Linked DNA regions of Anolis sagrei. The protein of the gene in region 2 interacts with the protein of the main gene of each other region in a biochemical or structural test. Links are inferred from orthologs where the notes say so. Each region holds a gene or a part of one and is shown on either strand. Other genes may lie near its edges.

What was found. The genes of interacting proteins can lie anywhere in the genome.
Region 1: the proteins of ANXA1 (region 2) and S100A11 form a complex in vitro, tested with the Homo sapiens proteins (2 studies listed by BioGRID). The link is inferred for Anolis sagrei from reciprocal best matches to the Homo sapiens genes ANXA1 and S100A11.

The regions. Positions count from the first base shown.
Region 1 is NC_090032.1:3,616,013-3,623,090, reverse strand, and holds the start of S100A11 (protein S100-A11), read right to left. Parts: upstream 3,046-7,078; 5' UTR 2,866-3,045; coding exon 2,863-2,865; intron 1-2,862. UniProt on the Homo sapiens protein: Facilitates the differentiation and the cornification of keratinocytes.
Region 2 is NC_090022.1:223,642,953-223,650,172, reverse strand, and holds the start of ANXA1 (annexin A1), read right to left. Parts: upstream 3,063-7,220; 5' UTR 2,954-3,062; intron 270-2,953; 5' UTR 256-269; coding exon 190-255; intron 1-189. UniProt on the Homo sapiens protein: Plays important roles in the innate immune response as effector of glucocorticoid-mediated responses and regulator of the inflammatory process. Has anti-inflammatory activity.

The sequences.
Region 1 (7,078 bases), on a different chromosome or scaffold from region 2:
GAATTGTTTTAATCTACTGCTGTAAACCGCTCCGAGCCAAATTGGGAGTAGCGGTATACAAGTCAAATAAATAAATAAATAAATAAATAATAATAATAATAAATAATAATAATAGTAATCCAGCATATATATCTGATTTGCTGTGACATACTGTGTTTTTGTATCAGCAAAATAATAATAATAATAATAATAATAATAATAATAATAATAATAATGGCTGGAATCACTGGGTTGTTGTAGGTTTTTCCGGGCTATATGGCCATGTTCTAGAGGCATTTTCTCCTGACGTTTCGCCTGCATCTATGGCAAGCATCACCTCACTACCTCTGAGGATGCTTGCCATAGATGCAGGCAAAACGTCAGGAGAAAATGCCTCTAGAACATGGCCATATAGCCCAGAAAAACCTATAACAACCTAATAATAATAATAATAATAATAATAATAATAATAATAATAATAGTAATTTCTCAATGTGTTTCTCAGCTTTGCGCTTTTTGACACCAGGAGAAAATAAGCTCACAAGGAAATCTTGGGAAAGGGACGCCTGGGGCAGAGAGTCTGGGCGGAGGAGGTGGAGATGAATCAGGTTTTGGGAACCAGCCCAAATCTGCACCTTTTTCTCATGCGAACTGGAATGTTTGCTCAATGGAAAGGAGTTGGAAGGAAAGGGGAAAAAGGTGGGCCCGTTTCAATATCCTCTTGGCCTCCTTCTCTTTACTGAGCGCCCTTTGGAAGGCCAATTTGCAGTAATGGGAGGAAGCTGAGCACAAAAGCGGAAGGACGAGAGATAAGCCGGGACGTTTCAAAGGTAGCTGGGAAAGGGACGAATCAGGAACGGTTGCAAATTGCGATTTTTGGCAAGTATCTTGCACTGTCCCAGGATCAGACTTTTGGGACATTTGGAGATTATCTGGGAGGGGCGTTCAGTCTTGATGACCTTTGGGGACCCTCTTGAAGGTCATTTTGCAGCAATGGCAGCAAGCAGAGTACAAAAGGGGGAAGGAGGAGAGAAGAATCCCTTGCAATAGCCTCCCAGCTCCGTTACGCCACACAGAGAGGTGTGCAAAGTAGGGTGTGATGTGCTTCAGGCGGGCCAAAACGGTTTCACATGGCCGCGCCCTTTTGTGAGCCGCTCGTGCAATCTCTGCCCAATAATGCTGGTGCCTCACCAAACTATAACTCCCAGGACTCCATAGCAAGGAGTCTGGGACAGTCCAAGTCTCCAACCCCATTAATTTGGCAGTTGATGCTCCCTCAAAGGAAAGGAAAAGCTCAAGGAGACCCATAGAGTGAAGTTTTGGTGCCTCTTCTCCATCTTTCTGAAAATGGAAACCTATAGGTCCATATTCCAAACATAAGATCTATGTCTCCAAATTTCCAGATCTTCAGGAGACCTGTGTCTCCATATTTCCAAATCCTAAGGAGACCTATGACTCCATATTTCTAAACCTTCAGGAGATCTATATCTCGATATTTCCAAACATTAAGGAGACCTGTGTCTCCATATTTCCAAACCTTTAGGAGACCTATGTCTCCAAATTTCTAAACCTTAAGGAGATCCATGGGATAAAAATCTCCAAACCTTAAGGATACCCAAGTCTCCAAATTTCCAAACCTTCAGGAGATTCATGGGATGAAATTTCCAAACCTTCAGGAGACCTACATCTCCATATTTCCAAACCTTCAGGAGACCCATGGGATGAAATTTCCAAACCTTCAGGAGACATTTAGGATGAAATTTCCAAACCTTCAGGAGACATACATCTCCAAATTTCCAACCTTTGGGAGAGCTATGGGTCTATATTTCTAAACCTTCAGGAGACCCTTAGGATGAAATTTCCAAACTTTCAGGAGACCTACGTCTCCAAATTTCCAAACCTTTGGGAGAACTGTGGTTCCATATTTCCAAACCTTCAGGAGACCCTTAGGATGAAATTTCCAAACCTTCAGAAGACCCTTAGGATGAAATTTCCAAACCTTCAGGAGATATACATCTCCAAATTTCCAACCTTTGGGAGAGCTATGGGTCTATATTTCTAAACCTTCAGGAGACCCTTAGGATGAAATTTCCAAACCTTCAGGAGACCTACGTCTCTAAATTTCCAAACCTTTGGGAGAGCTATGGATCCATATTTCCAAACCCCAAGGAGACCTATGTCTCCATATTTCCAAACTCTAAGGAGACCTATGTCTCCAAATTTCCAAACCTTAAGAGACCCATGGGATGAAATTTCCCAACCTTCAGGAGACCAACGTCTCCAAATTTCCAAACCTTAATTAAGGAGACCTATGTCTCCAAATTTCCAAACCTTCAGGAGACCCATGGGATGAAATATCCAAATCTTAAGGAGACCTATGGGTTCAAATTTCCATACTTTTGTCTCCAAATTCCCAAACCAACATCTCCAAATTCTCAGGAGAGCTATGGGTCCATATTTCCAAGTCTTAAAGAGACTTATGTTTCCAAATTTCTAAACCTTAAGGAGACCTCTGGGTCCGTATCTCCAAATCTTAAGGAGACCCATGGGTTCAAATTTCCAAACTTTAAGGAGACCCATGGAATGAAATGTCCAAATTTTAAGGAGACCCGTGGGGTGACATTTGGGTGCCCCCTTTTCCTTCTTTCCGAACCTGAAAGAGACTCATTGGGCGTCCTTATTCCATTGTTCCAAATGCCCCAAACCGCCTCTCCAAACTCTGCAGAGGATATGATTTCAGTCTTGGCGGTTTCTCTCTTCTTCCGTGCCAAAAAAAGGCTTTTCCAGTTTTCCAGAATTCAATAAAAACAAACAAAGGGAGGAAAAGAGGACGAAAGTTGCATGTTGCGGTGCATGTTTCCCTATGTGGTGCCTGCAACTTACCATGGTTTCGGAAATGCAGAAGCAAGGAGAGAAATGTGGTGGCTTCGCCGAAGCTGTTGGCCTGTTGCTGTGGGCGATGGGTCTGATGCGCAAAAGGAAGCGCACTCCACTCCCCTCCCCAGCCAACGCCCAAAGTTCTTTCTCTTGTGGCTTTTGGCTTGAGCAATGGCTTTGTGAAAGCAGACCCAGGCAGGCCTGCTGAGAGGGCTTGCACAACCCCACCTGACTTATGCGCTCAGGAATGTGGAAGAAGACGAGGGTGGGGGCGGGTGCGCACGTTTATTTTACTTCTAAGTCCTCTTATCAGGGCCAGATTGGAGCACAATGCTGAGGAGAGCGCACCAAAAGCCCTGGCTTATTGCTTCTCAATGCATCATCCCATAAATGGAGAAGAAGAGCACATCAATGCATTTTGAGACCATTTCCACATCTGTGGCTCAATGCTATGGGATTGTGGGAGCTGCAGTTTGCCAGTCTGAAGCTTTCATAGACCTAGACTTGGGTGCATTGCCAAACTATAATTCCCACAATGTCCTCCAATGTGAGACAATGGTGCATCTGAGTTTTCATGGCCCTAGACTTGGGTGCATTGCCAAACTACAACTCCCATTATGTCCCCCAAACCCACAAATGTGAGACAATGTTGCATCTAAGCTTTTATGACCGTAGACTTGGGTGCAACACCAAACTACAACTCCCACAATGTCCTCCGAACTCACCAATGTAACATAGTGGTGCATCTAAGCTTTCATGGCCCTAGACTTGCGTGAATCACCAAACTACAACTCCCACAATGTCCTCTGAATCCACAAATGTGAGACATTGGTGCATCTAAGTTTTAATGGCCCTAGACTTGGATTCATTGCCAACTACAACTCCCACAATGTCATTCGAACCCACCAATACAAGGCAATGGTGTATCTAAGTTTTCATGTCCGTAGACTTGGGTGCATCACCAAACTACAACTCCCACAATGTCCTCCAATGTGGGACAATGGTGCATCTAAGTCTTCATGGCCCTAGACTTGGGTGCATCACAAAACTACAACTCCCACAATGTCTTCTGAACCCATAAATGTGAGACAATGGTGCATCTAAGCTTCCATGGCCCTAAACTTAGATGCAATGCAAACTACAACTCCCACAGTGTCCTACGAATCCACCATTGTGAGACAATGGTGCATTTCAGTTTTCATGGCCCTAGATTTGGGTGCATTGTCAAACTATAACTCCCACAATGTCCTCTGAACCCACCAATGTGAGACAATAGTGTATCTAAGTTTTCATGGTCCTACATCTGGGTGCATCACCAAACTACAACTCCCACAATGTCCTCCGAACCCTCAAATTTGAGACAATGGTGCATCTAAGCTTTCATGGGCCTAGACTTGGATGCAACACCCAAACTACAACTCCCACATTGTCCTCCGAACCCACCAATGTGAGACAATGGTGTATCTAAGTTTTCATGGCCCTAGATTTGGGTCCATCACTAAACTACAACTCCCACAATGTCCTCCGAACACACCAATGTGGGACAACGGTGCATCTAAGCTTTCATGGGCCTAGACTTGCATGCATCACCAAACTACAACTCCCATTATGTCCCCCAAACCCACAAATGTGAGACAATGTTGCATCTAAGCTTTCATGGCCGTAGACTTGGGTGCATCACCAAACTACAACTCCCATTATGTCCCCCAAACCCACAAATGTGAGACTATGTTGCATCTAAGCTTTCATGGCCATAGACTTAGGTGCATCACCAAACTACAACTCCCATTATGTCCCCCAAACCCACAAATGTGAGACAATGCAGTAGAATGAATGCAACCGAAGACCGCTTGAACTACCCTGGCTGAAGGCTATAGATTCCTGGGAGCTGTAGTTTGGCAAAGCCTGTAGCCTTCTAGGCCTAAGAATGGTATTGCTAAACTATATCTCCCAGGATCTCACATAATGAATAGCTGTATCCTCATTGTAGAAAGAATGCAACTGGAGGCCACTTGAATTGCTGTGGCTCAATGCTATGGGATTTCAGGAGTTGTAGTTTTCCTGTAACTTTCTCAGTGAGAGTTGGGCACTGCACCAAGCTACAACTCCCAGGATTACATACATACGACTAATAAGTGCATGAATGTAGTTTGACAACACTATAATAGCCATGGAGCAATGCTATGGAACTGAGGGAGTTATAGTTTGGGGAGGCCCTGGCAGAGAAGGCGAAATACATTGTAAAACTATAATTCCCTTAATTCCATAGCATTGAGCCTTGGCAGTCCAAGTGGTGCCAAACTATGCATCCATTATACACTCCAAAAGGTACATCAAAATGAATGCAATTTGGCATCTCCATAACATCCATGGCTCAATGCTACAAGATTTGGAGAGTTGTAGTTTTGCACAGCCTGTTGTTTTCTTGGCACAAGAGTATTGGGACCTCGCCAAACTACAACTCCCAGGATCCCATACAACTAATGAGTTTGTGTCCACTTGAACTGCCATGTCTCCAGGTGCTCTGCCAAACTACAACTCCCAGGATCCCATACAACTGAGTTTGTGTCCACTTGAACTGCCATGGCTCCAGGTGCTCTGCCAAACTACAACTCCCAGGATCCCATACAACTAATGAGTTTGTGGCCACTTGAACTGCCATGGCTCCATGGAGTAGTCTACTGGGAGTTGTAGTTCTGCAAGGTCTTCTCTGCCCCAGGTGCTCTGCCAAACTACAACTCCCAGGATCCCATACAATGAACGAGTTTGTGGCCATTTGAACTGCCATGGCTCCATGGAGACATCTGCTGGGAGTTGTAGTTCTGCAAGGTCTTCTCTGCCCCAGGTGCTCTGCCAAACTACAACTCCCAGGATCCCATACAACTAATGAGTTTGTGGCCACTTGAACCGCCATGCCTCCATGGAGACGTTTGCTGGGAGTTGTAGCTCCGCAAGGTCTTCTCTGCCCAAGGTTCTCTGCCAAACTACAACTCCCAGAATCCCATACAACTAATGAGTTTGTGGCCACTTGAACTGCCATGGCTCCATGGAGTAGTCTACTGGGAGTTGTAGTTCCGCAAGGTCTTCTCTGCCCAAGGTGATCTGCCAAACTACAACTCCCAGGATCCCATACAACGAACGAGTTTGTGGCCACTTGAATTGCCATGGCTCCATGGAGTAGTCTGCTGGGAGTTGTAGTTCCGCAAGGTCTTCTCTGCCCCAGGTGCTCTGCCAAACTACAACTCCCATGTTTCCAAAGCATTGGGCCAAGACAGTTCAAGTGATGCCAAACTGCTCCAAATCCCGGGAGTTACAGTTCTGAGAGGCACCAGCCCTATGTGGCATGGGAGGCTGTTGACTTTGTCAAACTACAACTCCCAGGATTCCATAGTAGCGAACTATGGCTAGTGTTGAACTATGGCTAGTGTTGTATGGCTAGGTAGTGTCGTATTGCATTAATTCCACAGTGTGGGTGCACCTGAGCTCTAGCAGCTTGTTGATTTATTCTGCAGGTGGCTGGGATTTGCCCTAATTCAGGGGGAAATTGTAGTTTTCCCATGGTCTCATAAACTGACATGGGACGGAGCTCATATCTCAAAGGGGAAAAAATTTACAATGTACTCGTGGAGAGTTTCCACGGGTTTCGGTGAGAAGGACTCACATCTTGTGCAATTGTGTTGAATCAACATGCACACAAAATAGAAGAGGAGAGATCTAGAGCGGTTAAGGACGCCCAGAAGGGAAGAGAAAGGGAAGGCCTGTTTGTTTGCCTCTTGTTTGTTTTATTTTTCACGCCATGGAGACTAGCTGTGACTTGCTAGGAAAGCACACACACACACACACAATCCCTGGACAAAGTTTCCCATGAGTCATCCAATTAATCATTTCCTCCAGGCAATGAACCATCACTCCCTTGATTTTCCATTATTGTTGATTTGGTTGACTCTCTGTTGCCACCTAGTGGTCTATGCATGTATTGCTAGAATTGGATCAATTATATTTTTATTTTTAATTTAATTTTTCTCCTGATTTAGGGACTCAAGTGAGGCACATATTTTAGAAAAATGTAATAGAATTATGGTCCTTCGTGGAGACTTGGCTCGCAACCCAACAATTCTCTGATTTTACAAACGAAAAGAACGAAACGGAGACGACAATTGAATCAGATAAAGGTAATTTATTGATATACTTGGAATACGATCCATCCACTCCCTTGAATTCT
Region 2 (7,220 bases):
CTTTCAACAAGCAGTGCTACCTTACCCCACTGTTCAACAAGCAACTTGCAAAGGATACACCTCTGCCTCACTCCAGGATTCAGAACAGGTAACAGGATGGCCACCAGAAAGCTGTTGCTATGTCTGTGTAATAATATACTCTACTGGATTGAACAGGATCTTAGCCAAATTCTTTAAAACACCACTTACCACATATTCTTGTTCATTATTGTCAATGAAAAAGGCCTGCATCAGAAATTCTCGCACCATAGCCATGTTGATTTATGTTTCTGCAACAAGAGATGAGAATAAAATGCTGTAGAATTCTCTTTTGTACATTCATTTTAAACACTCTTCTGGTTATTCAGGACATTCCAAGAGCCAGCACATTAGACAAATATTCCTCCCACATCTGCCCGGAGGCCTCTAAATGAGTCAGAGTCCTCTGTGGTATTCTCATTTTACTCTGGGAGAAACTGTGTGACATGCTGTTTCATAGAATCATAGAGTTGGAAGAGACCTCATGCACCATCCCATGAGTATTTAAAGATAAAACTGCAAAGACTCTGGCACAAGCCAGTAAAGGTCATCCCAGTGGTGATCGGCACACTGGGTGCAGTGCCTAAAGACCTTGGTCTACACTTAAAAACAATCGGCGTTGATAAAATTACCATCTGTCAGCTGCAAAAGGCTACCCTACTTGCATACCCTACTGCACTCATTATTCACCAATACATCATACAGTTCTAGACACTTGAGAAGTGTCCAACATGTGATCAAATTAAAAAGCCAGCATAGTGATCATGTTTGCTGTGCACTAATATCGTTATGCCACTCCCCTATTAAAACAGCTCCACTGGCTGCTGATAAGTTTCCTGTCCCAATTCAAAGCCCTAAATGGTTTGGGTCCAGCCTATCATTGTGATCACATATTTCCCGATGAACCTGTGCGAGCTCTAAGATCTCCTGGAGAGGCCCTTTTTTCGTTCCTACCTCTGTCTCAAGTGTGGTTGGTGGGGACGAGAGAGAGGGCCTTCTCGGTGGTGGCCCCCAGCCCTGGAACCCTCTCCACACGGAGATTAGACTAGTGTGCACCCTGTCCACTTTCTGTAAAGCCCTAAAAACAATGCGCTTTTGATTAACCGGTAAATGAAGGAGTTTCCAGCATGCTCCAGGGCAGAGAGTTCCACTGCTGAACAGCTCTCACAGTTAGGAAGTTCTTCCTAATATTCAGGTGGAATCTCCTTTCCTGTAGTTTGAAGTAATTGTTACAAGTCCTAGTCTCCAAAGCAGCAGGACGCGGGACAATGGCTTCAAACTACAAGAACGAAGAACAATCCCATAGCCCAGTCCCAAAGCTGTACATAAAAGACTCAACACATCAGTTTAAAATTAATAAAAGAGACTAATTTTAACCACGCTCTTTAATTATAACAATTTGATTTTACTTTTACTGCCACGGCTCCAGCCTATAGAATCCTGAGTTTGTAGGTTAGGAAGGTTTCATTTCCTTCTAGAGATTTCTAGTTCTCTCCCTTGAAATACAACTGTAGAGATCTCTTGCATACTGTTATGATATAACCCAGACGATGGTTGCAAAACTTGTGCAAGCAGCCATATGTTAAGCCTTGATAATATTTGAATAAAAGAAGAGCCTCTGGTGATGGGACACAAAACTTTCAGGAACTGGATGTGGGATGGCCACACCCCGATCTATTAAAATGTGATCCCAGTTAGATCTTTTTGGAAGTAGTATAGGTTATAAAAGATAACCACACATTGCAGGAAATAGCCAACACGTGAATCTCATTGGAAGTATCTACAACCTCATAACTATGTTTCTGGGATCATTTGTTGTGGGCCGCAGTATCCCCAAAGTACATGTCCCATGCAATGCTTTCAGGAAAACAGGAAGACAAATCCTGTCCCAATATAAATGTAGTACAGTATGATAGGGCAAAGTAGTGGGCAATTTATGGTCCAGCTGGTGATATTCACTCCAGATCCTATCATCCCCAGCAGGCACAGCCAACAACAGTTGGAGGACCATTAGTCACTCAGCTTAAAGACTGTTGTATGTATAGAGCATCAATTAAAACATGCAAGCACATTCATACAAAAGTGAAATCCCATTGTCTTGAGTGTGGTGATATACTTTGTAACAAGTAAATGTGGTTAAGACTGCCAACAAAACTCACTTCCTAAAAGAACAGTTACCCTTGCAGTCAGCCTGCATTTATATGCAACTCCTACAAATTTTACAGCCAGGATGGCGTGAAAAATTTTGAAAAACTTGTTTTATGACTGAAAAGAATCCACCAGTGAGGAGGAAATGGCCCGACACTCTTTTTTATGTATCTGTGGAAAGTTTGAACAGACTAAAAGTAGAATTCCACAGAGCTTACTCATGCTGCTGAGTTGCTGCTTACGTGTAAACAGAAAAACTGGACTGTTTCATTCCCTTGCTTTCTCAGAAGGCAGCTCTTATTTAAATTTTCACTTTGCTTTTCATATGCTGTTAATATTTTCAAGTTTAGGAGAACTGAGCTCTACTATTCCCAAATAATTAAGCAACCTCATCATAACTGCAGGGGAAGTGGCCTCATGTAAGTTTCCATACAAGGGAGGGGCATTTTTCCCCTCTTGACACAGACTTTTGTGGTTAAAAATAATTCAGTTGTCCATAGAAACATGAACAAACACAGCATGGAGCAAGTCGGTTCTAAAAAAAACCTGTATTGTACAAACTTAAGAAAACTTTATATTCAGACGTTTAGATTTAGACACTATAAAGCTTTGCCACTCCCACCCCAGCTGCCCTAATATCCACACAACTTCAAAACAATTGGAGAAGCTTAGATAAACTACAATACTATTCTCACATTCTGTGCAGGGAAAAAAAGCCACATCAACATGTGCAGAAAGCGACACACTTCTACAGCAAGTGAAGAAATGATGTCTAAAGAAACCATACCTTTTCTTTTCCACAAGTCACACCAACTCTGTTTTCTGATTTGGGAAAGTACTGACTGGAAGAACTAAGCCTAAGCCTTCTGCTTTTTATAAAGTCATTGGAAGCCACACCTAGCAACCAGGATTAACTTCTCCAACTCCAAGGATTGGTTGCTCAGTGGAAATGGCTCAACATGTGATGTAGATGATAGACACACCCACATGTCTTTGAAACAAACTGGCCACTGAAGTGAAGAAATAGATATCTGAGCTAATGGCAAAACTGCAGATTGAATACGGAAGGCGACAGAGGAGTATCGGTAGATTGAATTCAATAGTGTTAAGAAATGTTTTGATTTTGTAATGTGCAACATCCTCTGTAATTGTTTATGCACCAAAAGAGATGCAGACAACAATTCTGTTCCAGGGTGGATTTTCACTCTTCCTCCTAAGGGTTCTCACCCATAATTTCCTTCATGCTTCATCAGTCTGATATTTCTGACTTTTTCTTTTTATTCTCACAGTGTTGACACACTAATACAAGTTGGGCACCCTTTATCCATGTCAGCTTGCTTTCAGATTATTCAATGTACACAGCATTTGTTTCATACACAAAATGATTTTTAAATTTGTGTATAAATTAACTTCAGCTATGTGTATAAGGTGTCTATGAGACATGCACAAAGATGTTGTTTAGACTTGAGTCCCATCTCCAAGGTTTCTCATTATGTACATATATGATACAAATACAGGTATTCCAAGATCTTTTAAAAAATCTGAAATCCAAAACACCTCAGATCTCAAGCACTTCAGAGAAGAGATGCTTAATCTGTATTCATTTATGAAAGGTAAAGTTTATGCGTCTTTGAACTCCCAAAATTTAAAAAACCCAAAACTTTTCAGAGATCCACCCCATAAATTATATACCCCTAAAATCAAAACAGTTCAAAATGATCCAGAATGGTCTTTAATCCAAATTTTAAGTTGGTATCAAATATATGTAATTGGAATGCCACTAGGCCAATGTTTATAAATAAGGAACTGGTGGTTATGTATCTTGAAATAAGCCTATAGATATTATGAATAAGCCTTTTTCAGCTTGTGGGTGTATCCACATATATTTACTTATTGATGGCTGGCTGTGATAGCAGTTGCAGCCCAATACATCTGGAGAGCACCCAGTTATCATTGCCATTTTTTTCATGTCAGGAGCGACTTGAGAAAGTCACTTCTGATGTGAGAGAAATGGCCATCTGCAAGGATGTTCCTCAAGTAACACCCAAACATTTTGATGTTTTTACCATCCTTGTGGGAGGTTTCTCTCATGTCCCCGCATGAGCTGGAGCTGACAGAGGGAGCTCAACCCGCTTTCCCCAGATTCAAACCACTGATCTGTCGGTCAGCAATCCTGCCAGCACAAGGGTTTAACTCATTTTGCCACTGGGGTCTCCTATCATTGCCAATATGTTGATAGTACTTCAATGTGTAATCCACAATTTATTTGACAGGAGAGAAAAGGAGTGTCTACAACTAATTTCCAGGAAATTTGAAAAAATGAATGTTCTCCCAGACATGTCCAGCCCTTTAGATCTGTGTGGGAAACCTTTCTCTTGTTCCCATAACCCTTGGAGGCAGGTTTAGTGAGAACATGAGGCAGAACTTTCTGGGTGGCTGCGCCCAGGACAATTTGGTCCTTCCTTGTTGTCTTCAGCAGGAAATTACTTATTATTCAGGCAGATTTTTGGCAATTGGAGGACACGGTGTAAAATAGATGTACCCAGTAGGTTTCTTTATTTTTGACAGTTATTTAAAACTATCCACTTTCAATTTTCTTTAGTTTAATTGTGGCATTAATGATGTAACTTACTTTATACTTTTTCAGTAATTTTATAGTAATGCTTAGTAATGTTTCATTTGAATTAGTTTTTAATTGTGTAGTAAGCCACTCTGAATCATAGTCACAGAGAAATAAATCAATACTAATATACTTCATGGGCTTCTTAGTTATATATGATAACAACTAAGTAATGTCTCTAGTCCAATCCTCCCCTTCTAGTCCACCTTAACAACCAGCAGTAAGATTAGGAGAGAAAGGTCTGTTCAGCTGGCAACTGAGGAGTAAGGATGATATTCTCAGTTCCTTCACCAGAGAGCAAACTTGCAAAAAGAACTTGTGTGTCTAAGATCTGATGGTTGCAGTCTCAGTCACTAATGGGAGAGAGTTAAAAACATTATCCTTTCATCCTGATCGACAGCTGAAGAAACATCCTTCACCCAGTCTGGTTGCTGGCTGTTAATGTGGGCTGAGGAGGTGGCATGACAAAGGCTATTTCTACACTAGACGGGTTAGTCCATTGTATATCTGTCTCAAAGCAACCCCAGATCCAGCATGTACATGCTAAACTAAAGACCAGTCCAGCCAGGCTGGGATCACAGCAGCCCGGCTAGGATGTTATCTTGTCCTCCATGTTGCCACTGCCACAACCTGCCAGTCACAGAATTCTGTGAGAGTGCTTGGCTATGTCCAGTCACATCTGCTGATGTCAGAACAGGGCACCTGTGCAACTAGCAAGAAGTAAGGGGTTGATCAACATCTGCAAATATCAGCAATATATGCCCATGATGGCGAGGTATTCTTCAGTGAACTCTGTTGCCAGTAGGAAGCAATTACAGTGATGCAGGGGTGAGCCATTCCCTTCCTCTCTGCTGTTCAGCTCAGAGAAAGGGTTATGGTGGCAGTGTCCATTTGGACATGGGATCTGACCACAATATATCCAATCCAACTATCCAGACTGCTTTTCAGCCTTAAGGTATTTTGCGATTTGGTCTAGAACAGTCGATCAAATCAAAACCAGAAAACCTGGGGTATTGACCAAAAGTTCCTATTCATCATGGAGACAGGAGGCGATGGATTCAAAATGAAGCTAGCTTAACCCATGATTTTATTCAACAAAAGGCAGTTATGGATTCCTAACTGTAGATTACAAAATTATAACTGAAAATCTGAACCCCAGCAAAAATAAATAAAAAACAAGTAAACTTAATGTAGGACAGCAGGCAGAACGCACAATCCAATGGTCAGTGGATTGGGCTCCTTCTTTCAAAAGGATTGGTTTCTATAGCTCAACACCTTAAATCAAGAAATAGTTTTCTAAGATCTACAGAGATACTCGCAAGAACACCTCAGCAAGTGAGAGTCCAAAAGTGGCAAGCTAAATCCCAGCACCTCAATCCATGGCTGATACCAAATGAGAGACTCCCCCCTGGGCACACAGAAGACTGGGCAACTTGGAAGGCACTGAACAGACTGCGCTCTGGCACCACAAGATGCAGAGCCATCCTTAAGAAATGGGGCTACAAAGTGGAGTCCATGACACGCGAATGTGGAGAAGACAAACCACAGACCCCCTACTACAATGCAACCTGAGCCCTGCCACATGCACAATGGAGCACCTCCTTATAGTGACGCCAGAGGCACTCCCAAGTGGCCAGCTACTGGTCAAATTACTTTTAATAGAATGCCAAGTTTTTAAACTGTGTGTTTTCTCAAAAACAATGGTTCACTCCTGATACAATAAATAAAATATATAGCTCTTCTCTACTACCTGGGCATAAAGTTCTATCTGTATGTGAGAGAAAGGAGCTGATTGTTAAATGCTGTCATCTGGTTTGTAATAACTTGAAACAAAATATTAATGGATAAAACTGAAATGCCAAGCCCATCTGGAAGAATGTAAGGTTGAAATGAATTCACCTCTAGGTCACTGAACCATTCTGCATCACTGCATTGTAAAGATGGTGTGTGCACTTTCAAGTCATATTTTCAATGTATGGTGGCACCAAGGATTTGCTATGTTTTTTTCTTAGGCAAGAAATACTCAGAAGTGGTTTTGTCAATTGCTTCCTCTACAACATAGCCTACAGCACTTGGTGTTCATTGGCAGTCTCCATCCAAGTTAGCTTCCAAGTTCAGATGGTGATGCCTTTAGGGATTGTAACATGAAAGAAATGAAGGTGGTGGGACCAAGTAGCAGTCAGCCCACAAAAGAGGGCACCCCATGAAAGGGAATGTTTCACAACTAAAAAAGCAAAGTGTGAGCTGATGTATAGCAGAAACATCTCTTCATTTTAAAAACAACCAAATTGTTTTTAACCTGTAATTGCTGATTAGTAAAACAGAGATAGCATTGTACCTTAAATAAAGAATGAAATGACTGATCCTTCTCCAAATAGCAATTAAGTGATGTGGGTGTGGGTATGTGTGTTTTAAGTTCATTCTGACTACATCT